Caenorhabditis elegans: one gene and its partner. The protein of the gene in region 1 interacts with the protein of each later gene in a pairwise test. Each region holds a gene or a part of one and is shown on either strand. Other genes may lie near its edges.

Region 1 (15,659 bases):
TGTGTGTGTTAATTTGTGCAATAAAAAATAAACTTTTCTATCCTTTTACCACCTCAAAACCAGTTTTTCACAATTCGAATTCCATTTTTTTTTCAAAATTATCAGAGACTTACTTACCTATGTGTCATTTGTCAGTGTCTCTCAAAATTCTATACTATTTCTGACAAATAGCCTCTCATTCTAATTACTGGTCGTTTTTTGGACTAAAATGAGGGGTCAAAAGATTGGAAAATAAGACAAGTTTGTCATAAACGGCAAATAAAAACTCATTGAAAAGAGACCCGGCCCCTTTCAATACATTTAGTATCAATTCTCCAAAAGTTTATGATCCTCGTTTTCGATGTTCAGTGTGTTGCGAGAGACGGTTTATTTGCAGGTAACATGACTTTCAACGATGGTGACAACGATCGGATTGGAAAAGAAGAAGAACATGCTGGATTGATTGAAAATCAGATTATTTCACAGAAAACGAAGGTGAGCATTTTGACAATTCACTAGAAAAACAATGGAGAAACTATTTGAACTAAATATTTTTCCATACAAATATATCCGAGAGACGAAAATTGTTTTGAAATTTCGGCACTTTGGCAATTGCAGATCACGAAACATTTCAAGGTTTTAAGGCAAAAACAATTAATCTTATGTATGGAAGCTGCAAAATGTCCCGGCTTAAGGTTTCGAAAAGAATTCTTGTGAAATACGGTTCACAGAAAGTGAGAAATGCAAACATCTCATCATTCACATATGACAATGACCAAAATTTTTCTAAAAACTCTCTGAAATACGATTTCAACAAAATTATAAATTTCCTTGTCCTGCCAATACTTACTTAGGGTTACTGTAGAATAAATATTATTGTGGAAGTACTTACTTCCTTTTTCTATTTTCAGTGGTTTCTAATTAGAAATTCAAGTTTTCGTCAAAACAAAACAACTTCAGTAATTATTTTTTGAAACGATGACTCAACTAAACAGATCAGTTTTATTTTCAAAAATCGTTGAGAGAAATTTCAAGTGATCATATTTTTATAGTTTGTGTTTAACTAGAATATAATCAATGACCATCTCTCAAACTTTTGCAGTAAATCTTCTCATTTTATGAGATCAATTATTTCCGCTAGCATCTTTATCTTAAGATATCACCATCTTCCAATATATTTTCAACGAAACAATTTGAACCTTCCAATGATTTATCAGTTTTATTTTTAATATATATTTTTTAGAAACAATTACCATCCTGGCTGGATCGTCCATATCATGTTTGGAGGGATCAGTTTCAACAGGATAAATGTTGCCCCAAGAAAATGGTTAAGCGGGAGGTGAGCACTGGGACATTAACCAGAAAATTATTTTAAAAACAAAACCACTGTAGGCAAATGATGCTCAGGCGGAAGATTTTAATTATGAACAATTTTCTAAAACATGAAAATCAGAAATCAATTTTTTTAACGTGCTGGTAATATTTTTGAAAAATAAAGTTCAAATTTTCAGTTAATGTTTGCCTCGACATATGTTCTCATTCTGAACGTTGCGTTAATTCTTTATGTTCTATTCGGATGTCAAGTCTTCGATCTGCGACATTCTTCGACAAATAATGAAGCATCCTTCTTGGATAGAGCTCTTTTCTGCATTACAACAATTTCAACAATTGGTAAATATGATACTTTAGATCTCAAATAAAATAACTATTTGAAAACTGACAGGATATGGAAACATTGCTCCATTTGACGATCGAGGAAAAGTAATTTGTATATTATATTGTGTGGCTGGAATACCATTGTTCTTCATGACTGTTGCAACGAATAGTGTACTTGTTGTAGATATTTGTAATATTGTACACAGAAGTTATAGCTCACAGGTAATCTTTATATTTGAATTTCAGATGTTTAACAGTAATTTTCAGAACGTGGAGAACTCCGGATTTCGATGGTATACCTCTGCAATTCTTCTAGCCGCTCATTGTTTTATTGGAGCTCTCATATTCTCACTGTGGATCGATCAACTTGACTTTCTAGATGCATTCTATTTTAGTTTCATTTCGATTACAACTATTGGATATGGAGATTACTCCCCAACTCCAGAAGGACTTTTTCAATATATAATTGTAACTGTATACCTTTGCACTGGAGTTGCTACAATGCTTCTATTTTTTGCAAGTCTTCAAAAAGGAATCATGTGGATTCATTACTATGGAAGAAAGGTTTCAGATTCAGAAGAAGCTGAAATTTGGTTTGGAGGGCAAATGATGACTGTCAAGGATTTGGTCACTTTGGTGGCTGAAAAGTTTGGATCAACGCCGGAAAAACTGAGGGAAGTATTACATGATCTTGATAAGATATTGGAAGTTGCATGCAAACAAGCAGAGGAAGATGACGATGAAGAAGATTGGAGATCAGTTAATAATTCGGAAGCTTTATCTCCTCCTGCTCCAAGAAAGAAGACAGTTTTCTTATCAGGATCTTCCGATGGAGATGATTGTCAGGCAACGATTCATTCCTTCACAAGTACTAATCAGAGAAGTATTCCGAAGGATACTGAGTTGGTAGGTGATAACGGAAATATTACGGGAAATTCAGAAAAACAGAGTTTTCTTTAAAAAAAATTCCGTCCAAATTGGAATATTTATTTGAGGAGACAGAAATTCCCGACTGAATTTCCAGTTGCACCATTTCCTTTGAATCAAAATGTTCCCTCATGGTGATATCTACTTTACTTCAAACTTTAATTTAATTACTTTAAAAATAGAAACTCATTAAATGTTTCGGAAATTTGCTTGGAAAGTTCTTTATCCGCGGCTATATATCCCGAACTTACTTTTTAGCGTCCTTCCTATTTTATTTTTCGTCGTTTACTTTTTTTTTTGGCCATAGGAGCATTTTTAAGTCTACCATACGCTCCTTTAGATAAAAATATATAATTTTAATTTTCAATTTATTTCAGGCAATTCTTGCCCTCGGCACTATTCAACATCATTTGAGGAAACCATCAGTTCGAGGAATACACGGTCACCACCATCATCCAAAGATTCCATTTTCTAAACCGGCCTCTGTAAGTTAACTGAAATTGCTTCTAAGTGATATTTCATATGTTTAGGACAGCAATATTGAGTCAAAAGAAGCAATTACATCACTTGATTTACGGAAGAAAGCTCATCGGGTACACAGTGATGGTCGACTTTTACTGCAACAAGATGTGTAGATATTCTGCAATTTTAGATTTTTCGAAACAAAAAAAGAAACGGATATCAATAATGTGTTACTTTGTCAATTCACCTGGTCAAAACAAGTGGCTTTAATACGTAATTTTTTAACGAAAGAAACTCATTGTTCTGATTGTATTATTTCTATGGAAATAAATGAAACATTTTTCCCCAGCTGACTACGAGCTTAATTTTTCGTTTCAGTATTTGGAAACAAACTTGAGAACATAAAGTCATTTTATTAATAGGTTGATAACTGTATGTAGTAGAAAATAGTAAATTGACAGCATATTGAGCGCAGTCATTAAACAGTGGCATTCTCTGGTAAAGGTTAAAGTGGGAATAGACTCAAAAAGGTCTTAAACTAACTAATTTCATTATTCTTTAAAAAATATCGAAAATGTTGGGAATATTTTTGCCATCAGAATCCTTTTTGCATATATATTTATTGTAATTTTTTAATTAACTTATCCTTTGAATTTTTTAAGAAAAAATTCTGAAACAACATTTTCTAGTAGATCAGCAATACTTACAAGGAAAAAGAATGGTACATGTCACAGAAATCTTAGAAATTTCGAGAGTCTTCTTAAAAGTTTTTAGAAACTTTAATTTTTTATTTCAATTTGCTGAGAAACAAACTAATTCAACTTTTCGTGTTTCCAGACTGTTAACTAGGAGAAAATGATTTCAATTCTTGGTCGATGTACATACTTGATCGGTGTTCCCGTGTTCACTTTGAATTTCAGGGGGTGGCCCCGAGAACAAAGATGAATAAGAGGAGCGAAAATCTCAAAAAGAAACAGACACACACACATTTACGCACACACATACAAATACTGTGTGAGAGATATAGATGGGGGAGAAATTGGGCAAATATTACTATTAGAAAAACGAGAAAAATTCGAAGAAAAGGCGAGCGGAGGATGCGCAGAAGTATCCGAGTGTGGGATGGGGGAGCAAAGACATGGCACAAAAAAGTCGAGAGATTCGGTGAAACTTCCTTCACCAATGCCACTTGGTCTCTCATCATTATTACAACACATTTTTGGAGAGAATGGATATGAAAGTTAGGTTAAGCTACAAAAAAAACGTTATTTGCAACAGTTAAAAAAACAGGTTTCTCAAACAATCTATAACTAATAATCTGAAAAGTTAATTCCTAGCTGGGAGACTAATATCTGATCAGCACATAATATGTCCAGAGAGATCTTCGCAGCAGTGATATTGTGGCACACATCCCCAACGAAGTCGGCCACAATGTGCCAAACGCGCCTCGCAGTGAGTGCATTGCGGATGCTCGTTTTCGTGAAACACATATCGTACCGGTCCTCAATCGAAATGAGTATGCGCACATCGCGAATGAACTATGCGAATACAAAATAGTGATTTTTAAATGAAAACGTTAAGGTTGAATATCATGGTTTGACAAAAAAAATAAATACTTATAAAATTGCTTGAGGTATTAAGGTACACTATATTGAATATTATTTGGCAGCACAGTTTCTATATAACATTTTCTCATGTTAAATTTTTTGATGGATTTCTGAATTTTAATGTAGACAAATGTTTTCAACGACAAAGCATCCAACTTTGAATGTACTTCAAAGAACACGATGGAAGCAAAAATATTTTTTTAAACTCAAAACGTCGCTTTTTTTAAAATTTTTCTAAATAATTGTGTCCAAATCCGATTTAGATCTATTATTATTATTCGGATTTCTTACACAGTATTCATTAATGTTCTAATAGTGTTGTTTCTAATAATAAAATAAGACCAGTTTGCTGGTCCAGGTTACTGAAATCACTGATTCCAATTTTTTATACAAATATAAGTAAACTAAGAATGAATCCCTTAATTTTTTTTCTACATTTTTTTATCTACTCCCACAAGTTCCAAGCGCTTACTCTCAAAAATCTCTTACGTATGTCTCTATCCAATAATAATGTGTGCTCAAAAAAGCGCGGGCTCATTCCGAAAGAACCCCCTCCTCTGATTTTTTCAACAAGTTCTACAGTAATCTCTTCGTTTCTCAATTTAACATACTCTTTCGATGAACCTGAAAGATAAAGTACTTGGACTGGCGACGCAAAAGCTCAAAACGTATGGACAATGCACATCCAAGAGACGTTTGATGCTCTCGGCAACAGTTCATTGTGTGGATATCGGAGAGCCCCCTTTCTTGCGCACGGGCGCTAAGCAAGAGAGGAAGATGAGGGGGAGTTTGAGTTGCTCCGCCCTATGAAGTGTGCCGAGTGAAGCTCTCTCTTGTGTGTGCCAAACTATTATCCGTCCCTGCAGAGCACAGTAGTGTGGAGCTGTGTGCAGTGCAGCAGTAGGAAGAAAAAGAAGAAGTCACCCACCTGTTTAGCCTCATTTTTCAATTAGCCGTTCGTTTTAATTTCCACTGAAACAAATCAAGAATGTCGCTCGAACACGAGAAGGACCCAGGATGGCAGTACCTGAAAAGGTCGAGAGAGCAACAGCTCGCGGTAAGATTTTACTTCTTTCATTTTACTTTCTACTTTTTCCTAGGTTTACATTCGACGTATTTTTTCTCCTCATAAATCCTAATCTTCTCAAATTCCAAAATATTCGAAATTTATCTGAAGTCGCTGCTTTTTATACACTTCTAATAACGAATTGTTCCTTCAGTTTTGAACCTAATAAAATACCGTATTTTCCCAATTTGTCCTTCTCTCGACAAATAATATTTCATCTATTTTGAGTATAGAAACAATTCAATTTAATTTTCCAACTAGAACAAGATTCAATCTTTATTTTACTTGTTGAATATGTTCTGATAAACTTTAAAATGAAACTTTTTCAATTACAATAGAGTTATTTTAAAGTGGTTAAGTGAGCATTTTTACAGCAAAATATTAAAAATTGTTTCTTGGCTACTTTTTTAAACATATTTTCAAGGTTCAATCTCTTAAAATTCTTACCGGTTTTTCGGTAGATCGTTATTTTTAAAGCTTCTAAACTTCACCGTTTTGATATTTAGGATAATAATTATTTTATAACTATGTATGAATATAAATTAATTTTTATATTTTTTTTATTTTACAGGATCAATCCCGCCCATACGATTCGAAGAAGAACGTCTGGATTCCAGATGCCGAAGAAGGATACATTGAGGGAGTTATTAAGGGTCCAGGACCAAAGGCCGATACTGTTATCGTTACCGCCGGAGGCAAAGATGTAACTTTGAAGAAGGATATCGTTCAAGAAGTCAATCCACCAAAGTTCGAGAAAACCGAAGACATGTCCAACTTGACTTTCCTTAATGACGCCTCCGTTCTGTGGAATTTGCGTTCCCGTTACGCTGCTATGCTTATCTATGTAAGTTTTTTCAGTTTCAAAAAACTTCAAATAGAAACACGGAAAAAAGATCTGCGAAAATGCGTAGTTGGATAGGCAAATAGTGCGCCCACGCAAAAGTGGCAAAATGCTATCTTAAGTGGATCGAGACAGACGATGAGAAACAAAGAGAGTCATGCTCAATGTGCACAGTGAGTAAAGAGAAAATTTATATTGGAATTTTGGACTGAAATTGGAATGGTACTAAAAATATGTGATTCAACAAAGGCAGTATTGAGAATATAAAAATATCGTTCCAAAAAATAACTAAATTTGAATACTACTGAAATTTAAAGAAGTAAGTTCTATAAAAATGGGATATTGACTGAAACAAAATGTTCCAATTTGCCCATTTTCAGACCTACTCTGGACTTTTCTGCGTTGTCATCAACCCATACAAACGTCTCCCAATTTACACTGACTCTGTTGCTCGTATGTTCATGGGCAAGCGTCGTACCGAGATGCCACCTCATTTGTTCGCTGTCTCTGATCAAGCCTACCGTTACATGCTTCAAGACCATGAGAATCAGTCTATGCTTATTACCGGAGAATCTGGAGCCGGAAAGACTGAAAACACAAAGAAGGTTATTTGCTACTTTGCCACCGTCGGAGCTTCACAAAAGGCTGCTTTGAAGGAGGGAGAGAAGGAAGTTACCCTTGAAGACCAGATCGTTCAAACCAATCCAGTATTGGAAGCTTTCGGTACAGACATAAATTAAAAAATTAACACTTGTCTGATAATTTGGTTGTTTAGGTAACGCCAAGACTGTCCGTAACAACAATTCTTCCCGTTTCGGAAAGTTCATCCGTATTCACTTCAACAAGCACGGAACTCTTGCTTCCTGCGATATTGAACACTGTAAGTTGATAATAATGATAAGAAGTTATTACGAAAATCGTAAATTGTTCAGATCTTCTCGAGAAATCTCGTGTCATCCGTCAAGCTCCAGGAGAGCGTTGTTACCATATCTTCTACCAAATCTACTCAGATTTTAAGCCACAACTCCGTGACGAGCTTCTTCTCAACCATCCAATTTCCAACTATTGGTTTGTTGCTCAAGCTGAGTTGCTCATTGATGGTATGTTTTGTATTTCTGGAGAATGAGATTAACTTGTTTTATTCCAGGAATCGATGACACTGAGGAGTTCCAATTGACCGACGAGGCCTTTGATGTTCTCAAATTCTCGCCCACCGAGAAGATGGATTGTTATAGACTCATGTCGGCTCACATGCACATGGGTAACATGAAATTCAAGCAACGCCCACGTGAGGAGCAAGCCGAGCCAGATGGCCAAGATGAAGCTGAGAGAGCTTGTAACATGTACGGAATTGATGTCGATCAATTCCTTAAGGCTTTGGTGTCTCCAAGAGTCAAGGTCGGAACCGAATGGGTATCCAAGGGACAGAACGTTGATCAAGTTCACTGGGCTATTGGAGCCATGGCTAAGGGGTTATACGCTCGTGTCTTCCACTGGCTTGTCAAGAAATGTAATCTTACTCTTGATCAAAAGGGAATTGATCGTGATTATTTCATCGGAGTACTCGATATTGCTGGATTCGAAATCTTCGACTTCAATTCCTTCGAACAGCTCTGGATTAACTTCGTCAACGAAAAACTCCAACAATTCTTCAACCATCACATGTTCGTTCTTGAGCAGGAAGAGTACGCCCGTGAAGGAATCCAATGGACATTCATTGATTTCGGACTTGATCTCCAAGCTTGTATCGAGCTTATTGAGAAGCCACTCGGTATCATCTCTATGCTTGATGAGGAGTGTATTGTTCCAAAGGCTACTGACATGACTCTTGCCCAGAAGCTTACCGATCAACATCTTGGAAAGCATCCAAACTTCGAAAAGCCAAAACCACCAAAGGGAAAGCAAGGAGAGGCTCACTTCGCCATGCGGCATTACGCCGGAACTGTCCGTTACAACGTGTTGAACTGGCTCGAGAAGAACAAGGATCCTCTCAACGACACCGTTGTCTCCGTCATGAAGGCTTCGAAGAAGAACGACCTTCTTGTCGAAATCTGGCAAGATTACACCACCCAAGAAGAAGCTGCTGCCGCCGCTAAGGCCGGAGGTGGTCGCAAGGGAGGAAAGTCTGGATCTTTCATGACTGTATCCATGATGTACAGAGAATCTCTCAACAAGCTCATGACTATGCTTCACAAGACTCATCCACATTTCATCCGTTGTATCATTCCTAACGAGAAGAAACAATCTGGAATGATTGATGCCGCCCTTGTGCTCAACCAGCTTACATGTAACGGAGTGTTGGAAGGAATTAGAATTTGCAGAAAGGGATTCCCCAACAGAACTCAACATCCAGATTTCGTCCAACGTTACGCTATCCTTGCCGCCAAGGAAGCCAAGTCATCGGATGACATGAAGACTTGTGCCGGAGCTATCCTTCAAGCACTTATCAATCAAAAACAATTGAATGATGAACAATTCAGAATTGGACACACTAAAGTCTTCTTCAAGGCTGGAGTTGTTGCCCACATTGAAGATCTGAGAGATGACAAGCTTAACCAGATTATCACTGGATTCCAATCTGCCATCCGTTGGTACACTGCCACTGCTGATGCCGGAGCAAGACGCAAGCAACTCAACTCATACATCATCCTTCAACGCAACATCCGTTCCTGGTGCGTCCTCCGTACTTGGGATTGGTTCTTGCTGTTCGGAAAGCTCCGTCCACAACTTAAATGCGGAAAGATGGCTGAAGAAATGATCAAGATGGCTGAAGAGCAAAAGGTTCTTGAAGCTGAAGCCAAGAAGGCCGAATCTGCCAGAAAATCTCAAGAAGAGGCTTACGCCAAGCTGTCCGCTGAGAGATCAAAACTTTTGGAAGCTCTCGAGCTTACCCAAGGAGGATCTGCTGCCATCGAAGAGAAGCTTACCCGCCTCAACAGTGCTCGTCAAGAAGTTGAGAAGTCTCTGAATGACGCCAACGACCGTCTTTCGGAGCATGAAGAGAAGAACGCTGATCTTGAGAAGCAACGCAGAAAGGCTCAACAAGAAGTTGAAAACTTGAAGAAGTCGATCGAAGCCGTAGATGGAAACTTGGCTAAATCTCTTGAGGAGAAGGCCGCCAAGGAAAACCAGATCCATTCCCTTCAAGATGAGATGAACTCTCAAGATGAGACTATTGGAAAAATCAACAAGGAGAAGAAGCTTCTTGAAGAGAACAACCGTCAACTTGTCGACGATCTTCAAGCTGAAGAAGCCAAGCAAGCTCAAGCCAACCGACTTCGTGGAAAGCTCGAGCAAACTTTGGACGAAATGGAAGAAGCTGTTGAAAGAGAGAAGAGAATCAGAGCTGAAACTGAGAAATCTAAGAGAAAGGTTGAGGGTGAACTCAAGGGAGCTCAAGAAACTATCGATGAGCTCTCCGCCATCAAGCTTGAAACTGATGCTTCCCTCAAGAAGAAGGAGGCTGATATCCATGCTCTTGGAGTCAGAATTGAGGATGAGCAAGCACTTGCCAACAGACTTACCCGCCAATCCAAGGAAAATGCTCAACGCATTATTGAAATCGAAGATGAGCTTGAGCACGAGAGACAATCTCGCTCCAAGGCTGACCGTGCTCGTGCTGAGCTTCAACGCGAGCTTGATGAGCTCAACGAGAGACTTGACGAACAGAACAAGCAACTCGAAATCCAACAAGACAACAACAAGAAGAAGGATTCTGAAATCATCAAGTTCCGCAGAGATCTTGACGAGAAGAACATGGCCAACGAAGATCAGATGGCTATGATACGCAGAAAGAACAATGACCAAATTTCTGCCTTGACCAACACCTTGGATGCTCTTCAGAAGTCTAAGGCTAAGATCGAGAAGGAGAAGGGAGTCCTCCAAAAGGAACTCGATGACATCAATGCTCAGGTTGATCAAGAGACCAAGTCTCGTGTTGAACAGGAACGTCTTGCCAAGCAATACGAAATCCAAGTTGCCGAGCTTCAACAAAAGGTTGACGAGCAATCGAGACAAATCGGAGAGTACACTTCCACCAAGGGAAGACTTTCCAACGACAACTCCGATCTTGCTCGTCAAGTTGAAGAGCTCGAGATTCATTTGGCTACCATCAACCGTGCCAAGACTGCATTCTCTTCTCAACTTGTAGAGGCTAAGAAGGCCGCTGAAGACGAGCTTCACGAGCGTCAAGAGTTCCATGCTGCCTGCAAGAACTTGGAGCACGAACTCGATCAATGCCACGAGTTGCTCGAGGAGCAAATCAACGGAAAAGACGACATTCAACGTCAACTTTCCCGTATCAATTCCGAGATTTCTCAATGGAAGGCCAGATACGAAGGAGAAGGATTGGTTGGATCTGAGGAGTTGGAAGAGCTCAAGAGAAAGCAGATGAACAGAGTTATGGATCTTCAAGAGGCTCTTTCTGCTGCTCAGAACAAGGTCATCTCTCTCGAGAAGGCCAAGGGAAAACTTCTTGCCGAAACCGAAGATGCTCGTTCAGATGTTGATCGTCACTTGACTGTCATTGCTTCCCTTGAAAAGAAACAACGTGCTTTCGACAAGATCGTTGATGACTGGAAGAGAAAGGTTGATGATATCCAAAAAGAGATTGATGCCACTACTCGTGACAGCCGTAATACCTCGACTGAAGTCTTCAAACTTCGTTCATCCATGGACAACCTCAGCGAGCAAATCGAGACCTTGAGACGCGAGAACAAGATCTTTTCGCAAGAGATTCGCGACATTAACGAGCAAATCACCCAAGGAGGACGTACATACCAAGAGGTTCACAAGTCTGTCCGCCGTCTCGAACAAGAAAAGGACGAGCTTCAACATGCTCTTGATGAGGCCGAGGCTGCACTTGAAGCCGAAGAGAGCAAGGTTCTCCGTCTTCAAATCGAGGTTCAACAGATCCGTTCAGAAATCGAGAAGAGAATTCAAGAGAAGGAGGAGGAATTCGAGAACACTCGCAAGAACCATCAACGTGCCCTCGAGTCCATCCAAGCTTCCCTCGAAACCGAAGCTAAGAGCAAGGCCGAGCTCGCCAGAGCCAAGAAGAAGCTTGAGACTGACATCAATCAACTCGAGATTGCTTTGGATCATGCCAACAAGGCTAACGTTGACGCCCAGAAGAACTTGAAGAAACTTTTCGACCAAGTCAAGGAACTTCAAGGACAAGTCGATGATGAGCAACGCAGACGTGAGGAGATCCGTGAGAACTATTTGGCTGCTGAGAAGAGACTTGCTATTGCTCTTTCTGAAAGCGAGGATCTTGCTCACCGCATCGAGGCATCTGATAAGCATAAGAAACAACTCGAAATCGAACAGGCTGAACTCAAGTCTTCCAACACTGAGCTTATTGGAAACAATGCTGCTCTTTCTGCCATGAAGAGAAAGGTTGAGAACGAGGTTCAGATTGCCAGAGTGAGTTTATTAAACGGATTGTCAGATTTTAAAAAATAAAACTTTCAGAACGAATTGGACGAGTACTTGAACGAGCTTAAGGCTTCAGAGGAGCGTGCCCGCAAGGCAGCTGCTGATGCGGATCGTCTTGCTGAAGAGGTCCGTCAAGAACAAGAGCATGCAGTCCATGTCGACAGACAACGCAAATCCCTCGAGCTCAACGCCAAGGAACTTCAGGCTAAGATCGATGATGCTGAACGTGCCATGATCCAATGTATGTTACCAAACAAAGTATTCTAAAGTCGAAAAATTGTATATTTCAGTCGGTGCCAAAGCATTGGCCAAGGTCGAGGATCGTGTTCGTAGCCTGGAAGCCGAGTTGCACTCTGAGCAACGCAGACACCAAGAGTCCATCAAGGGTTACACCAAGCAGGAGAGACGCGCTCGTGAGCTTCAATTCCAAGTCGAGGAAGACAAGAAGGCGTTCGATAGACTTCAAGAGAACGTCGAGAAGCTCCAACAGAAGATTCGCGTCCAAAAGAGACAAATCGAAGAGGCGGTATGTATACTTTATTAATAACTAAAACCTCAACGAATATTAGCGAATTATCAGCGAATGGAATGTTTAACATAATTATTTGAAACTTATTGATCCGATGTAATCATTCCTGTTTTTCAACATTTCAAAGAGTTTATTCAATAGTACCTATTTAGTTCAAATTGGAATTTCCAATTGAAATCATATTTGATTACGATCCTTAAACTTTTGTTCGATCTAATGACCATTATTTGACTTATATTGTATAGGTACAACTATTTGATCATAGTAGTGCACTGAATATAAGAGGTCGTGGCGAGACCAACTTTTAAAAACTGCGTGTGCCTTTAAAGTTATGTTTCACGTTTTCATGAATTTGCAATACCAAATATGATTCCACAAAGTTGGAGTCGTGAAATGTTGTTTTTTTTTTCAAATTTATTTACAAAAACTAAAAGTTTGAATTTTCAGGAAGAGGTCGCCACCCAGAATCTGTCCAAATTCCGACAGATCCAACTCGCTCTCGAGAATGCCGAAGAGCGTGCCGAGGTTGCCGAGAACTCATTGGTTCGCATGCGCGGTCAAGTTGTTCGTTCGGCTACCAACAAGTAAATTTGCCCCCTGAATAAATTTCCATGGTCCCCACACACAAAACTTCACTTCCCCATTGACCTTCAAAACCTCTCGTCGATTTTCTTCCTCCTGTCCATCATCTTTTTCAGCAGTGCTGCACACACAAATAATTTCTCATAGTTTTGTATTTTCCCCCACATATCTTGTTTATAATCAAGTTTTTCTCAGTTTCCTTTTTCCTAATTGTTAAAGTTTCAGTCTCAATCATATTCTCTCACTCTCTGTTTGAACGATTCGCGCGCCGAGTCTCCGTTGATCTTTAAATTCTGTTGATTTCTCCCGACGCTCCACACGTCTGAAATTGATATAATCTGAAAGTCTCGTTGACATCATAATTCTTTCGATTCTAGCGATCGACCCTCCACATTATCAATCAGTAAACTGCCTTCCAAAAGCCCCAGGCTCTAGAAAATCAAATCAATTCAAAAAACGCAAACGGTGTGTCTGTCATCATCATCATCAACTCTTCTTTTTCAAGAATAAAGTTGTAATTAAGACTCTCTTATGTAAATACAATCTCTTTCTTTCTTTCTTCTTTTCTATTTACTCTGCACAAATGATGATAAGACACCAGGATCTGGCAGGATACTTCACTCAAGTAGTACGGTTTCGCGCTGTGGTTTTTTCCAGGAACTCCCTTTGCTTGGTAAGAATCACAAAACGTTTTCTTCTTGTGGAATGTTGAAGAACGAATAATAGTAAACATGGAGTTTAATTGAAGAAGGTTTAAATCTAGAAGACAGAACGTTCAAAATTTTATTGTCTGAAAAGTAAAGAATAAAGCACAAGGGAGCAGTACATAACATCGTATTAAGAATTATCTACTTTCTCGAGAAATGCGGTTGAATAGGAATGAAAATTTCACTTTCTTCTACGACGAATATTTGTACATTGTCCATGTAATCGTAATTGATGTCTTCTTCCGAATATCTTCTCGTAGTTGTTTCATTTGTAGATCTATTGTTCCTGCAATGCTGGTCATGTTGTAGCATATGTGATATAAATTCATTACATATAAACTTACCATCATATTATGATCATGGAGAGCACGATAGTTTGGAAGGGTTTCAGAACAGTTGTTGCATTGAAACATTTCTTTTCCGTGAGATTCGTGTCGATGTGAGCACAACGCTTGCAGGTTATGAAAGGAGGCGTGGCAATCTCGGCACTGAAATTATAAATTCTCAAACGTTATTTTTTAATTAGGAAAATTAACAAACCGTCCATTTCTCTGGAGTATTCGAATCTAGACGAACACGGGATGTGATTTTTCTCTGCAACGCGGCTCCATTTGTATCGCTCCTGTGATGTTGTCGTAAAGAAGAACTTCCCGGTTGTTGAATATTATCAAATACGTTGCCGTATTGACACGTCTTGCGATGTTCAGACAGAACATTCAAATTTGCAAAAGTTGCTCTGCAGTCAGGGCACTTGAGAACTGATATATTTTGAATATTGAAAAGTCTCTTATCTCGGATCTTGTATGGCTTGAAGCATTCGTGACGGTCAAGAGTGGTTCGATCGATACAGTTTCGGCCACATTGTTGGCAACGGAAGATTGAGTATTCCATACTCATATGACGACGAATCGAACTTAGTGTATTGAACTTTTTCGTGCACACACCACATGTTAGCATTGCAGTCAATCCATGAATTTGCTTCCGATGATGAAGAAGACTTGCAACACCGACACAGAACTTTCCACAGATGGAACACTGAAAACTTATAATGTAAGAACAACATATTTAGAGCTTCAATTTTGTAAAACATAATGATACCTTTGTCAATTTTCAATTTTTCAATTTTTCAATAGAAATCAATTTTTGCCGCAATATTGCAGATACAGCTACAGTAATCCTATTACGTATTCCCTTTTAATACAATCTTATCATATGAATCATTCACTTCAAAATGTTAAATTTACATTCTTTGGTGATAATTTAGATTTTAAGACATGATTACTGAAAGAAGTATGTTAACCAAACAAAAAGATTTAAAAGAAATGAAGTAATCTACCGGAATATTGACCAAATTCCCAGTCGAAGAAGATGAGGATGAAATGGTAGCATCAGCATCTTCGTCATCGTCATTGTCGTCTTCTCTTTCAGGTTCTATACCAAATAAATTGACATCTGGAACCACGCTGATCTCTCCTTCACGTGGTCGTCTGTCCCGCAACGAGTTGACATCCAAATGTACATCAGAAAGAGCTGGAGTAATGTCTGGACAATGCTTCTTGTGATAATCAAACCAATATTCATTTTGATATTTTTTATGACAGTTTGGACAGCTTATGGTTTGATCTAAAAGCGCAGGAGGAAGTGCAGTAGATGAATTACACTTTTCCATGTGGCGTTCGAACCAAAAACTCGAATTGTATCTTCGGTAGCAAACATTGCACTTGAATTCCTGCAAAACAATGTTTATGTCCCATCTCTGACTGAAATTTATTTTTTTTTTGTAAAACAAGAAAAAATAATCTGTTAAATTAGTTTATATTTTCAATTAGTGAAGTTCTCGCAAAAACGTTTCACTAAACATTCTCCA
Region 2 (15,736 bases), on another chromosome or scaffold:
AGATTGCACTTCGTCAAAGTTTCCATTCAAATCACAATCGGGAATGAAAACTCCCGAATCTTTTTCATTTGACTCGACCCTGAAAATGAATTTATTTCAATGTTTTTTTCCCAATTTCTTACCCTTCACTTTTTGCAATTGTCAATGCAGCAATTCTTTGATGAATACAAAGAGGAGCTCTATGAGGTTGAGTACATCTCATGACACAACCATCAGAACAACATTTATACAATGAAGGACAATCATCATCATTTTTACAGTCTGCAATTGTAGGTCGTTGAAGACAAAATGCTCCAAGTGGAGCAACATTCAGGCACTCTCCAAAATGAGTTCCGGGCATTGTTTGTTGTATTGAAGGAGTAGGTACAATGCGAGATATAGATGAAGTTACACATGTCAGCCCACATCCATTCCAACAACATTTTGAAGTTTGTCCACAGTCGGAGTCGGTTTTGCATTCTTGAATACATTTTTCAACTTTTGCAGTGTTTAGGTCTGTTATTTTTGGACACGTGCCCACGTGTGTTTCAGGTGCTGTAAAACTGATATTTTTTGAATAAAGTTTGAAATAGACTTACATTCAGCTGTACAACAAAATCCAAATTCCTGTGTAACCATAGAACAATGCGTAGTCATAATTGCATCAAAGCAATCATTACTTCTGTAACACTTCTTCAAATGAAGTGATGTCTCATTTTTGACTGCTTCAGAAATTGGACAAGGATTTATGATACATCGAGGGATCTGAACAGTTGGAGATAAGTACATTAGTATGGTAGTTATTAAATAATACACACCGTTGGACATGGCTTCGTAACACATGGAACTGTAGTTGGAACACACAGAGAATCTATTCCACAGGTGACACCTTCACATGGATCTACACAATCACACGTTGCACATCCTCTTTTATCTTTTTTATGTCCATACTCGCATCCAATTGTACCACATTCAAGTTTTTCACATGGTTCTGAAATGTTTAACGATTGAAAATCATTTTTCATGGTGACTATTACCTGGACAGTTTGGTGTAATATCTTCTCCAGTTCTGGTCCCTTCTACATAATTTCCTTCTTCATCCACGCACCAACAAAATTCAGTGTCACATTGTATTTGCTCAAACGATCCATCTAAAAACTGACTTAATAATTAATCCAGCTTTAAAAGCAACTAACCTGGCCTGCATTTGATCAAATCCATTTGTCCCATCTTTTGTAGATTTGTTTTTCGAACAAGACATTTGCTTGTTTGTAGAGGATAAGCACACGCTTTCACACATCCATCGTCACAACATTTGGCAACTCCAGCACAATCAGTATCATATTCACAGGTATTTTTTCTGAAATATTCAATTAAAAATATATCTTTGTGATAAATTGGAAACGCACTCTAGTCTGTTACAAAGAACACGTTGTTCAGAAATACAAGTTCCAGCTTTCTCAAATATTTCTTTGGATATTTCAATTAGAGGAGTTGCAATATCTCTGCATCCTGCCCCACATCCATCAAAGCAACACTTTTGATGTCCACTACAATCATCATCAACTTTACAAGAAACCCTGCACATTTTTGCGTCCAAACTTATAGGAACAATTGGACAAGAACCTGCATGACGGACAAGAGGTGGAGATAGGCAACACATTCCTCCAGATGCCAATCCAAGTTTATGACACCAGTGAGTTGAAGTTGGGCATTCTTCATCTTTTGTACAACTTTCAGCATTTCCAATACTGGAAATATATGGCTCTCCGGCTGGACAAAAGTTCAGAACACATCTAGGTTGTGGAACACAGTTTCCCTTCTGATAACATTGAATTGAGCTCATAACGCATACACTTCCTTGTGGACATTTTACTTCTTTGCATGGATTTTTGCATTTACAGGTTGGACAGGAGTTTGATCCTCTTTCAAAACCAAATGGGCATGCTACTTTACAAACCAGTGGTTCACATGGGTTTCTACCTGAAAGCGGAATAATTAAAAAAGGTCAGAGAAAATATCTATGCTAATATTGTAGACGCATCTGGAAAGTAGTGCTCGACTCACTTTCACAGTTCGGTTTTCTTCCAATGGCTCGCGATCCGGGCAGCTCTTCTCCAGTTGCTATGTCCACACAAAAACATCCTTCATCGTCACATTGGTATTGTTCAAAATTTCCTGCCCTGTCACACTTCATTGCATTTCTTAATGAATACAATTCAGCTGTCAATGCAAGATGAAAGCAAGCTGAAAATGATGTAGTTGATACCAAACCCAACGAATATCAAACTCACGGGTGCTCCGAACTGGATACATACACGAAGTTGAACATCCTTGTCTACAACATCTCTTCATTCCAGCACATTGAGAATCAGAATGACATTCAGTTGCACAGCTAACATTTGATGCAATGATATCAATACAATCTGCTACCAAAGAGCTCAAATGTCCCTTGTTATACTTCTCAACATCGCCCGGTTGGTAATGCATCACTGGCTCAATTGGTTTCAATGGTTTTTTCAGAACATAATCTTCAGGCTGTGTGCAAGATAAAGTGCAGCCATTGAAACAGCATTTCTCATCTTCAGAGCATTCGTGATCCGAGTGACATGAATTATCAGGGTAGATGAGACACTTTAATTTGTCAGCGGCTTGGGAAGGACATCTTCCGTCTCGTGTAGATGACGCTGGACCCGAACAACAAAATCCAAGTCCATTGTAGCCAATCTGAAAGTTCTATAAATATGCACACTTCTTTCAAAGTATCTAGTACCTTTGAACAAGTTCCTTCGGGACAATCTTTATCAATAGAACACAATGCTGTAATTCCATTTCCAAGACGAGAAGGTGGTCCGTGCCTACATGGGTTCAACAGACCTGAAACAAACTTTATATATCTTTGAAGTAACGTTTTTGAATCAAACATCGCGGAACAGGGAGACATGGAGGATTTGCACAATCGGGCTCAACCAGCTGACACTGCTCCCAAGTATTTTCACAATTAACATTTCTACAAATATCCACACAAGAACATGATGCAATAGGACATCCGAAAATGTCCATAACGTGTCCATGAGTACATTGATTGTGGCACTTTTTCGTACATAAACGGGGTTCTAAAAATCAATAGTGTAATTGATTTTCTCCAAAAATATATGTTCCAAGACATCAAATACCTCTACACATATCAATCCTTCGTTGTTCTCGACTTATTCTTGTACCAGCTATCTCTGAGCCATAATGTACATCGACACACCAACAAAACTGAATATCACATTGAATTGATGAGAATCGTCCGTTTCGTTCGCAAAATGGAACAAATTCATTTGGAAGTCTTTTATCTTTTAATTTCGAAATTGCTAGAACCATATGAATACATCCAGTTGCTTTGAGAGGTTCCATACAAGTTGATCCACATGCATTTTGACAACATTTATCAACACTACCACAATCCAAATCATTTGCACATTGTTTTTGATCAATGCATATTGATTTATTTGATGTTGGAGAAGGACATTGACCGACTTTTGTTGTAGGAAGTGGACGAATTGGTGAAGGAGTTGGAAATAGAGAGTTCGCAAGATTTCGTATCGTTGGTGGAATTGGAGTTATATTGAAATGAGTTGATCCAATATTTGATACAGCTTTAATGAGACGTTGAAAGGAACCAGGGATGTTATTAGATGATGAAGAAACTGGTTGAATTGGAACTTCTCTGTCGATTTGAAAACTTTTAGCAATTGGAGCAACACATTCTCGTCCACATCCGTTCGAGCAACAGATCAACCGACCACTACAATCAGAGTCTTTTTCACATCGAAGTGCACATATACCACCAGTTAATCGTGGGCATTCTTCTCGATTTGATCCTGAATCAAAAAATATGTAATGAGCTTTCATACTTGAAAACAAAAAATACAAAAATTATGTTATCAAAAATTCATTTTCAATTTTGAATTTTCAAAAAATTTATCTTGATTCTTGGAATTATCTTGAAATTAACTTTAATACATATGTACATTTCTTTTTTGTAATTTTGAAGAAATTAAATGCATTTTTTAGTTTTTCTTGTTAAGGACATGAGTTGATTTTTTATTTTTTGAGAAATTCTAATATAGAAGGTTATTATGTGATGTAACCGTTGTTCGTTTTTTTTTCGTTTTTCAATTGTCTTTTATAGAAAATCGAGAAAAATCTTTGGCAAAAAAGGAACAGAGTATTCACAAAAACGTGTCCGAATACTAGCTTAGCCGTGTAGTAGCCAGATAATTGTCACTTCTCTTCCCAAAAGAGACTGGTCACGCACCATAATTGGATGTACACTTACCGAACTTTGGAATGCAGCGTGCTTTCACGCCAATTGCAATGCAACTTTCTGATGGTCCACAAATTGTCGTCTAAAACATTAATATAGAAAGTAAAATATTATTAAGAACAATTATTTCTCGTTAAATATATTATAGAGTGTTAGAAGAATTCAAAAAAATATCAGAGATCTTTCAAAAAGCCTAACCTGGCAAGGATCCATTGCACATGTGCAGATACATTGTTGAAGAATATCTTTCAAATATCCAAAAGGGCATAATAAATTACAACTGGTTGGACGGAAAGGACATACATTTGGTACACTTGCCGGTAAAAGGTCTATAGAAGACGACAAAAATGGTTTCAGAATTAAAAGATACAGTAACCACATAATTGCTCATTTGACATCCGGAAGTGATAAGAATAAAAGATGTGATGGTCAATTTAGGATAGTAAAAGATGACAGGTGGATTGAGGGAAAAGAGACAGGTTACTTCTGTTGAGTGGACACATTGCAACCCCCGGCCACCACCGCCACGGACACGCCGCCCACTTTTGCGGTGTGAGGTGCGAAACTGTCTTCCGACAGATTTGTAAATATTACGAGGAAGTTGATGTAATACGGAAGAGGTCCACTGGATTTATGTGAATGAAGAATCAAAAGATTGTAAAATGTTTAGATATGATGAGCTACAGGGTCAAAGGTGATTTGATACACGATTTTCGAGCAGAAATGCTGACTTTTCGAAATCTCATTGTTGTTTAATCAATCACGGGATGTACGAAAGGGATCTTGGTTTTGGATTTTTGAAAATCAAAATATTACAGGAAAATATAATGCAAAACTAGTACAGACTGTGAAAATGTTTCTAACCTTGATTTCTGCTCCGTCCAACTGTGAAATTACATTGTGTGTCAATTTCAAAAACGGTACGTGATTTTTTAGTTCTGGTTTTTAAGTGAACTTTATGTATATGAGCTCTGAAAACAGGAAAATAAGGGAAAATTAATAAGGTAGTCAGAATGAAATATTGCAATTCGAACATAAGCATTTAGTTTGAAACAACCCGTATTTCCCTTATTAGTTTTGTAGCTTCTAGTTTGTCATGCACTGATTTTCCGACAGACCGGCTATACTCTGTGGGAATTTCCGCAAAAATTAAATTTAAAATTAATAGATGAGATGTGGTATGTAGTTTTAAAAAAGTCGATGGATTCAGAAAATGCTCAGAAAAATCCGCGCATTAATTTCCAAAACTATCACATTTCAGAAAAGTATCAAACATCATATTTTTGGAGTCCAATACTACTTCTTCATTTCTTTTTTTTTTTTCTTTTCCACTAGTTTTACAATAAAATATATTGTTTTGTCCTAATGAAGCACATTTCATTTTGTAATGTTTTTTAACTTTCTACTGTAGGATATTCTATTCCGTAATCGTACAAATCTTCTTTCTCTCCCAAATTTAGGCTGCGCCCTGTTTCAAAGCTCTGCTAATAGTACGCAAAACAAATGTATTCGCTAACTCTTTCGCTCATTTCGGTATAAGTGTCACTTGGAGATCTCTTCGTCTCTCGCAACCCGTATTTGTATTGTTTATCTTCCAAAATGGTAGTCGACTGCTCATATGAATTGAATTACTAGCGGGATATGAAAGAGACATGAGATTTATAAAAAGTAACTGAATATTTCAACTTTTGAAATTGAACTTGTATCATTTTCGAAACTAAAATGGAAAAACAGGAACGATATTACTTCATTTTTCCACTTAAAGATGGAGTAGCAAAATTTGGGTGATTGTTTTTAGAATCAAAATTGATCCTAAATACCTATTGAGACAACTTGAAAATGTCTCAAAAATTATTGTATTAGGTTAGTCATTCTCTAAAAGAAAACGGGCAACCCTTCAAGTATTAAATCATTTTGAGCTTGAAAAGAGAGAACATTGTTCATTAAAATTCATGTTTGGGCTCCTAAATCTACAAAAAATATCACATTTATATTTTCGGCAATTCTGATTTCCTGTAATCGACAATTTCAGCGATTGCCGAAATCGTCGAAAAGTCGATTACCGAACGGCAATTGCTGCATGCTATGTATCACACCGTTTCAGCGTTGTGTATCGTATTTGTTCAAAGATAATTTTCTTGTAAATCTCGATGTTATTGACTACTGCAGCTAATACATTTGAATTCCCATTAATTCCTTTAATTTGATAAGTGTGACTTGGTTCCCGTTGCCCACCATCTTTTGTTCCTTTCCTCCTATCTTCAAATCAAACGCATCTGGAATCTATTTTTTTCATTGTTGTCTGTCTACCGATGCCAACGATCTGACCTTTCTTAATTGGTATTCGCGCTCATTTTGACATTGTGTCAACTTCAACTATTTGCGCGGGTTTACCTGCAAAAAAGTAAACAAGAAAAATGGAGATGAAATGAAAGAATTTCCAATAGAAATTTGTTGTTGAAAACTCTCTGAACCATGAGACCGTCCAAGACGTTAACATCAAATCTTTTCAATTCAGAAACGTTTCCTCTTTTTCTCCTTTTGTGACACGTTTCCTCCGTTCTTTTTTGGAGAGTCACTATATTTTTAATACGATTTTGCTTTACAATTTCTTTTTTAAACTTTTATTGATTTTGTGCTTCTTATTTTCCATTTTTCATAAAAAGTATTCCAGAATGAATCCATCATATGGCCGGGTTCGTAAGAAAGTATCCATTATATCTATTCCAGAGTTCGTTCCCGAGCATTATGAATGTAAGTTTTTACATTAAAAAAAAACTTCTAAAATCTGCTTCAATTAACGATCTTATTTTTTTTCAAATTTTCACCGATAAACTTAAATCTAATTGATACGGTTAGCATTGATGAAATCACTGAAAAATGTACAGGAAACTCAGAACTTTCTCAGTTTCAATGTTTCTTTTTAACCTTAAAGGTTGAGTAGCGAACTATATTTATTGTTCTCAAAATTCAAAACCAACGTCTAAATAGTCTCAAATTGAGCCTAACTTATTTGGCCAACGCCCCAGAAAAAAAACCAACAAGAAACACTTAATAAAACCACCAAAATGTGTAAAATGGAAGTTAAAATTACCGGGCGCCATTTCACAGGATATGTTTTGTTATTGTTCGTGTTAAAAGTTGGTCCATAAAGTAGATTTGAATATAAAGCCAAACTTTTGAGAACCGGTTTTGATTTTGACTATGATGAAAGAGTTTTGAATTAAAAATATTTAAAAAAAAAACACTTTTTTTCAATTCTTCTAGAAAAAGTGCATTTATTGACTCACCGTTAGAGCATATCGATAAAACAATAGACAAATACAATCATATGGGACATCAACCAGCAAAACACTTTAAAACACATTTTTGTTCCCGGAGGTCTCTATTTTTTCTTGTCTTTCAAAAGAAAAGGGGCACCTGTAAGCGGCTTACGTACCGTCTTGGTTGTCTATTGATGTATGTGAGGCATATACATCTATTTCATGAATGTTTCAACAAACAAAATATATACCGATTGTTGTGTCTCTTTCTCTAATATTTTCCTGGTAAACGATATGCATAAATTTCTGTTTCTCTTTCCTCTTTCCACACATCTGTTCGTATTATTTTACAAAATGAACTTACAGATGTTTTTTTGTTGTCTCGTTGGCATCGTAACTAATCGAAAATGATTGATGTTCGAACACGAATATCATTATATTTATTGTCGTCTTCATCTTTTTGTCGAATAGTTTGTATCGTTGATTTCTAACATTAGACGTCATCGAATCGTTCATCAAATTGTCGACCTGATCAATTTCTTTTTCTCTCTATTTCTCTTTACACAACTTCAATCTCTGAACTGTAAATTCCAAATTCGATTAAAAAGGCTAGAGAGTTTGATCGTTCTGGTTTGTGACTGAATTATTTGATGAAAGATCTAGTACGATTAATATGTTCATTATCAAAAGCTAGATGATCATTATTTGCCATTTTAATTCAAAAGAGGAATGATCCAGAGACAATGCATGAAGGAAATGATAATTAACTTGAAAATTATTTGGTATAAACGCCTTAACAGGTTGTGAAAAATTTAGGAAAATACCGAAATCGACAATCATAATAAAACACTCCACAATTTTTGATTTGGTGAAATTTTGTAAATTGTAGATTTTTCAGAAAGTTTGGACTTTTTGAGTAATTTCGAGCATTGCTACAGATGTGAACCTCTAGAATATTTGAATAAAAATAATTTCAATTTTCATGAAATTCAAAATTTTATAAAAATTGTTAACAATTGCCGACTTCCAAAATAGGTGAAAAAATTAAGTAATTGTCACTGTTTCACTGTAAGTAAAAAACTTTGATAATTTTTTACAAAGCTCTGCTAACTATAAGATATCCGGTAATTTCAATATTATTGGGCTGATTTGAAACAACTTCCTCACTGGCGATACTTTTCATTTAACTGAGTATTAAAAAGCATGAGCAAGTTGCCAACCAACTTTTAAATAAAACATATTCCCGTTCCGTGTATATGTTTTTATATTGCCGTTTCTATTCAGTTTTTTGCTTTCCTTTTTTCCAACATTTTGCTCATAAAACAACGTGCTTCACAGCTGTGATTCGTTGCATAATCGTCTTCAGCTTCTCGCTCATAAAACCAAAATGTTTTAGATGTTTAGTTGTCACTTCATGGTTTTTTTTGTTTTTTTAAATAGCTTTTTTGAGTTCAAATCCTTGCATGTTTCTGAAAATTTACACGCTAACTAACCTATCACTCCTTATTTCAAAATTAAAAACAACTTCCTTAAAAAAATTAAAAACCGTGTCAAATGTGATTTGTGTAAAAGAGTGTGGTGTAGAAGTGACACAGATCGTTAAACTTTTATAGTCCTTTTGCTTTGAGCGTACCGTGCCGTCGATCATCCGATGTGAAGAAATTGTCTAAAAAATGACAAGAAAATGAGAAAATGTTTAGTTTTGCACAATTTTCAGACGAAAACGAAACGACGGCCAGTGGAGGTGCTAGTGGTGGTGGAAGCACACGAATTGAATTTGATTTTGATGATTTTGAGGAACAAATTATGAGGAAATCCAGGTTAGTTTGTATTCTTGAAAAATCGTATTATTCGAAGAATAAATTGAGTGTCATTTGGCTGTTTTGTTACAAATCCTGTTTTACTGTTATCAAAAAAAAAACAATTGAAAAAACAACGTGAATGGCGAGAATATTCCTGTATCAACAAGAAAAAAGAGCCTTTTCAAATTTGTTTGAAAAAGAAGAAACGCTGCTCATTCTCAAGTACTTTGTATATCGAGATGGTCTCCTGGTATCGGTATCACTTTGGAAAAAAGTACAAGGTCGCCGATATAAAAAGGGTGTAATGATCATTTATTTGAGGTATTTTTGATTGGAAAAAATTTTGGTAAACTATTCTCGAGTTATTTTTTTTCTCAAATCATATGTGCTTCTATTTTTGAATTAACTTGGAGATTCGAATAAATCAGTGAACTATTGCAAGCAATACTAACTTCCAATTAAATGTTGAAGTAATATGTATCAATTTTGAATAATAAAAATGCATGTGAACCTGATGAATTTGATTTAAATCTAAAGTTAATGATACGTATTCTTATAACCGATTTATAGTAAATCCTGGCATATCCAGATTCCAAGGTGTATCTCTTTTGAAGGGGAAGTAACAGTTTTGAGTTGTTGCTTGAATAGACTCAAGATTTTCTCAAAATACTGAAAATCACAACGAGAAATCTCGGAAAATTTTATGGCGTTCAAAATTATTTTTTGGTGCAGTCGCACAATTTGATAACCACCTCTAAATAAAAAAATCCCTATAAATTTTAAAATTTATTTTAAATTTTAAATTTTACGTAAATTTTCTGATGAAGTACTTATCGCAATTTGTGTTCCCATACTCCTTTTTTCCAGACAATGGCAAAACTAAATAATCCGTTTAATACTATTAGTTTGATTTTTTAGACTGATAATATTAATTTGCAAACTATCATTGATGATTCTCCTGTTTTAAACAGACTATTGTGGTTAGTTCCGTTTGTCACTTATTAATCCAGAGTTATGGACAAAATTAGATTGAATATAAATTTAAGTCCATTACTGAGTACCTTGTTACTTCCGAGTTTTCGAGTTGACCGAGAACAATATTTGGCGACCTCTGAAGCGTGACGGAGATGATCGAATATTGCTAATATATTTGTTGAACTGTTCATGAAGTTCGTTCATATTTTGATTGTTTCGGTATCATTTCTTTTTCCTTCTCCTCCATTTTTTTTTCCGTCACGAAACAGTGAAATGATTGTGGGCATATCCGCCGAGTAGTAGGCGGACAAGCAAAACGTCATGATATCACCCTTCTTTTTTTCGCCTATTTTCTGTGGTCACTGATTAGCTTTTGACAACCTCACTCCTCTTCATTTTTGCCCATTTTAACTCAAAACACCAACCCATTAACATTTTATAGTTTCCTTCTTCGTGTCTTAACTTTCATAGTTTTGTTTGAGAACTGAAGCACATTTTTTGGCAACTTACTAGAAAGTAATTTTTGAATTTAGGTTTTTTCATAGAACGGTTAAAATTTTCGCGGATCGTCAGAAACATACAGTAAAAATCAGAGGATTTGTAAGTAAGAAAAAAGAAAAAGAGAATAGTTTGATTGTCTGTCTGAATCTCTTCCTCATTCTATACTATTTCTTCCTCTGGTGCAGTGTACAGAAAACTGTTGTAGAGTATGAATAACTAGAGAAAAAGAGTTGTTTGCATACAGATGTAGATTCAATAACCTTATCACTTTCCCCTGGACTTTCTCTGAGTGTTTGTCAATGATTGTTCAATGATTTTGATTTTAGGCGGGACACACATGTTTTTGTTTGTGATAACATATATTTGAGAAGCCATAATTGTGAGAAGAATCACTTATGTGTTCCATTCTTTGTGTTTTCAATACGTGGTTTCCATTTCATTTGCGTCATTCATTTGGCTCTTTCACGGAAATTTAATTCATATCACAGGGGTTTAATTTTGACCGATGAACAGTTATTCGAAACATTTCTGACAGAATTTTCAAAAGACGAACCGTTTTTAGATTGGTCGGTGTAGAACTTTTTGAAATAATAACTGTTCGGTAAAATACTTTTTTTAATCTAGAGAATTTGGCTACAAAAACAGTAATGTTTTTACCCAAAAATTGAGTGAGACGTTCTCGGAACTGTATAATTTTTCTAGCCATATTGATAATTCATAATGATTCGTGTTGGTTCACAAATATTTTTGTCTTGGCATTTCCCGCTAACTTCGTACTAAAGTTTTACCAACGTCTTATAAAACTTTTGTACTGCTGTTGAAAACTTGAATAAAACTTGAGACAGAAAGCATTTTTTTGAAACTAGATGAAACTTAAGAAAAAATAAGTTGGCAAAAATTGTACAAAAAATCTAAAAAAATTCTTAACTCTTATAGAAAGGCAGGACCGTTATAAATCCCGTGGATTTTTTTGTCAGTCGTTTTTTTACAGATACCAATGAAGGCTTTGCTTGAAAGCTTTTTTATATTTAAACAAATTTATTTTGTTTTTTGAGCAAATTCTGTTTAAAAAAAGTGTTATCAAAATTCATTCCCAAATAGCATAACGTAATTAAAAACTCTTTATCTCTCTATCGCTCGAAATATTTACTGCATGACTATTTCACTGCACGTCACTAGACTTAACCTTGCATAATTCACATTTGTAAAGATCACACACAGTTCACTAAAACTATGAAAGCATTTTATACTTGAATTTTGGAGGAAAGTCAGGATCTTTTTATGGTATGCATATGTTTACTCGCAGCTTTGGAAACATCGATTTTTTCTATTTTCTCAATTGCTGTAAATTCGATATTTTATACACAAGTACAAGTAGAAATATTTTGTATTCAGTTAAAAATCCATCAAATTTGAACTGTTGTTTCGGATGGCGTCTGCTGCAATTTTTATTATCACCAGCACCCTTTTCCCTCTTTTTCTCTCTGATAACAATCAATCGGTTTTTCATTTTTTGCAATATGTGCCTCCTCCTCCTCTTCGTTTTTCCTTCTGCTGCTTTTTCAATATGTTGCCATTATTTGATTATTAATTTCATTTTCTGAATTTTTCATTTCACACTTTTTGCAACATCTTTTAATATTAAAGAAAAAAGTCGTTCGGTGACATAAAAGCTTTTTGTTTTGAAAGCTTTGTTGAGATGTAAATCATGGTGCCGCCAACCAAAACTACCTATTTTTGTTCAAAATATAATTGTATGCTTTTATAAAAAATGAAAAATAACAGTCAGAAATTTTTATTTTACAAATTTACGAATTTCTGAGTTTGAGCTGTTCAGTATTTGAAGACCCTCCAATTTTCCAAAAACTCAGAATATTTGACTGAATAATGCAAAAATAAAACCGAGGCGGCCTGTATTGTGTACAATTGCCAGATTTTTAAAAAATTTGATTAAATTAGACGATCAAGGTCTTTCTGCATTTTGCTTTAAATTTTCTAACATTTAAAAAATATTTCAGGATTTTTTTACTATTCTTCTAAGCACTTATTGATATGACTGGTCAGAACCACATTTAACGTTCAAAATTTTTAGTGATATTTGTATTCTATGTAATATTCTCTATGTAATACATTGTATGTAAATTTTTATTCTGAAATTGTCAATGTTCGTTAGTCATCATCACGAATATTATTGTGAAACCCGTTTTTCAAATTGTCATTTCCATTTCTCTCGTTCTCAATTTCCTCTTGTTTTCCCTTACAGATTTTATCTCGACGATACCTTTCTGAATTTCATATATTTGTTACCTTGTTTTATAGTTCCACATTACTTCTCAGTTCTTCTACTACTTCTACTTCTATGCACCTTTCAAACTTCTACACATAATGGACTATGACTATAGGAGACGTGTTCTGGAACGTAACATTGGGTGAGAAAATTGAAGAAAATGAAAAATAAAACAAAAATAAAAAAAAAAAAAAGAAAATAAAACAAAACCGAGAACATCGATAAAATGGGAAATACTGTGTTTCGAGAAGATGGAAACAACGAAAAACTGAAAGAGAAACAAAAAAAAGAATTTTGTGACAATAGAAAAGTGCTAAAAGCACAGTCATCCATTGCTTCTTCTTCTCCTTTTCTTTTTTCTAAATAATTTTATATTTTTCAGCATGGCTCTTCCTAGTCGGAAGTTAACCATTGCCAACAGTATTGATCACGGAAACAATGGAAATTTACATATTGGAGATATTATTTCTCTTTATACAGAATCATCTTCAAATCAAGAACAGAGAGGATTCTTGAGCACACTTGGGTTGGTTTTTAGCTTTTAAAATAAATATCTGAAAATTACTGGAATATTTACAGATTGGTAGACGATCGATGTATTGTTGAACTTAAAGATGGGCGGCCTGAAAGCCCGCCAAAAAAGTTTCGAGATTGCCTTTTTAAAGTGTGTCCTGTTAATCGATATGCAGCTCAAAAGCATTTATGGACCGAGCAAAAGCGATTTCAAACTGGAGATTCAATGTTTGACGATGATCTGATGAATAAGCTGAAAGTTGCTGCGGATAAGGTATCTTTATTGAAATCTGGAATTAGTAATTGGAATTGAAAACTGAAAGTTTAAATCCAAAAAAAAATTCTTTTAAGTGCAACAATACTTAACTAAAGTTTTTTGGTTCTCATAACAGCTCTAGAAGAACCAATAATTTCTTAAACAACATATTTTCAGGAGCGGGAAGAAAACGAGTCTGAATTTCAAAAAACTCTCGGAAACGTTATACAATATGGTTCAATGGTTCAGTTGCTTCATGTCAAATCAAATAAATATATCACAGTGCAAAAGAACTCACCAGCAAAAAGAGAACGAAATGCGATGAAAGTTAGTTTTTTAATTCAATAAATTATTTTTTATTTTGTTAGTGATCAAAAACTTAAATGAACAGATACCTTCTTCACATTATCATCGTGTGAGTTGAAAATGAGTGAAGTTTTCAAAAGGATTTGAGCATAAAAAACGAATGCGGTGATAATTGAATGGAATGCATAAATAACTTTTTAAAATTAAATAACATGTCTGTGAATTTGGGAAACACTTCTAGAATTTAATGGAATGTAGCATCTTTCTAAGTTACCCACATTTTCTCTATGGGTTCAGAACAAGCCAGAAAGCCTAATACAGAATTTCTGGCCAAATTTTGTCAGCATTTCAGTTTTATCAATAAAACTTCTACACTATCGCATTGATTGTTATTTTAAAAAATTGCATTATCTATGTCTTTAGGTTTATCTGGATCGTGCTGGAAATGAAGGAAGTTGGTTTATAATCGAACCAGCATACAAGCATTATGCTATTGGAGACAACGTATCTGCTGGAAACAAGATATCATTGATTCCAAACTCAGTATCCACAACTCAAGCCGGACATGTCAAATCACAGCTTCATCTTTCATCATTCAATCTTCTCGATCATCAATCAGCTGCCGAAGTTAACTGTTTGAATGAACCAACTGAATGGCAGGTCTTTATGTTTTTGCTTTTTGATGAAAACCAGCAGAACAGTGTGAAATCAGTGAGTGTGATTAAAAACTAAACATGCGACTTATTTTATTTTTCAGGGAGATGTTGTGAGATTGTTTCATGCAGATCAGCAGACTTTTTTGACATTAGATACAATTCCAAAGCAGAATCCGCCAACTGATGTAGTTTTTCTAAGAATGACGAATCGACCGTCGGCAGCTGATGCAACAAGTTCGAGGGCATTGTGGGAAGTACAGGTTAGGATTTAAAATTTTTGAGAGATTCTAAGAAAAAAAATAGCAAAAACTCATTGACTCCAAAATCATTGACTACCTGTTCTCATTGCCTACCCTTGCTCATTGACTACCCTTGCTCTTTGCCTACCTCTTTCTCATTGACTACCTGTGCTCATTGCCTTCCTGTTCTCATTGCCTACTTGTTGCTCGTTGACTACCTTTTCTCATTGCCTACCCTTTGCTCATTGTCTACTCGTTTTCTTCATCAGTCAAGAGGCACGTACAAGGACCGTATTCCAAGAATACATCAAAGGTACATCTACTCAATTTGTTCATTCATTCAAAGGGTATACACATTTAAAATCTTTCAATCTGTACACAACATTTCGGGCAACAATTAGTAGTAGCTGTCATGTTTAATTTATATTAATTTTGATAGGACACGAAAAGGCTGGGCAACATTCTTTATCCATCAACATTAATAGCAACAATAGCAACAAAAAACAACAATTAAAAATTTGAAAAAAAAAGTGGCAAAGAACGTAAAATCAATAACAATGAAATTTGGCATAAGAAATTCATTCGGAGTCGGAGTCAATCACTCGTTTTCTGCTTTTGAGCATATAGGAACATGACGCCGTAGT

The links.
Region 2: the proteins of myo-1 (region 1) and itr-1 interact in a two-hybrid assay, tested with the Caenorhabditis elegans proteins (one study listed by BioGRID).

The regions. Positions count from the first base shown.
Region 1 is NC_003279.8:7,256,896-7,272,554, reverse strand, and holds myo-1 (Myosin-1), read left to right. Parts: upstream 1-5,497; 5' UTR 5,498-5,619; coding exon 5,620-5,688; intron 5,689-6,268; coding exon 6,269-6,541; intron 6,542-6,918; coding exon 6,919-7,261; intron 7,262-7,313; coding exon 7,314-7,418; intron 7,419-7,470; coding exon 7,471-7,638; intron 7,639-7,685; coding exon 7,686-11,962; intron 11,963-12,010; coding exon 12,011-12,215; intron 12,216-12,264; coding exon 12,265-12,500; intron 12,501-12,616; exon of another isoform or gene 12,617-12,716; intron 12,717-12,950; coding exon 12,951-13,091; 3' UTR 13,092-13,609; downstream 13,610-15,659. Other genes in the region: twk-1 (Potassium channel domain-containing protein), read left to right, coding at 382-474, 1,223-1,318, 1,491-1,650, 1,703-1,857, 1,903-2,541, 2,940-3,047, 3,093-3,197; ztf-15 (C2H2-type domain-containing protein), read right to left, coding at 13,934-14,086, 14,137-14,280, 14,333-14,827, 15,129-15,521. UniProt on the Caenorhabditis elegans protein: Muscle contraction.
Region 2 is NC_003282.8:7,668,205-7,683,940, forward strand, and holds the start of itr-1 (Inositol 1,4,5-trisphosphate receptor itr-1), read left to right. Parts: upstream 1-6,969; coding exon 6,970-7,048; intron 7,049-8,327; exon of another isoform or gene 8,328-8,477; intron 8,478-9,274; coding exon 9,275-9,377; intron 9,378-10,968; exon of another isoform or gene 10,969-11,114; intron 11,115-13,152; exon of another isoform or gene 13,153-13,220; coding exon of another isoform or gene 13,221-13,264; intron 13,265-13,504; coding exon 13,505-13,648; intron 13,649-13,701; coding exon 13,702-13,909; intron 13,910-14,068; coding exon 14,069-14,218; intron 14,219-14,620; coding exon 14,621-14,908; intron 14,909-14,954; coding exon 14,955-15,113; intron 15,114-15,736. Other genes in the region: C08G9.2 (uncharacterized protein), read right to left, coding at 1-79, 123-534, 579-744, 798-970, 1,017-1,130, 1,176-1,339, 1,389-1,962, 2,047-2,226 and 6 more. UniProt on the Caenorhabditis elegans protein: Receptor for inositol 1,4,5-trisphosphate, a second messenger that regulates intracellular calcium homeostasis.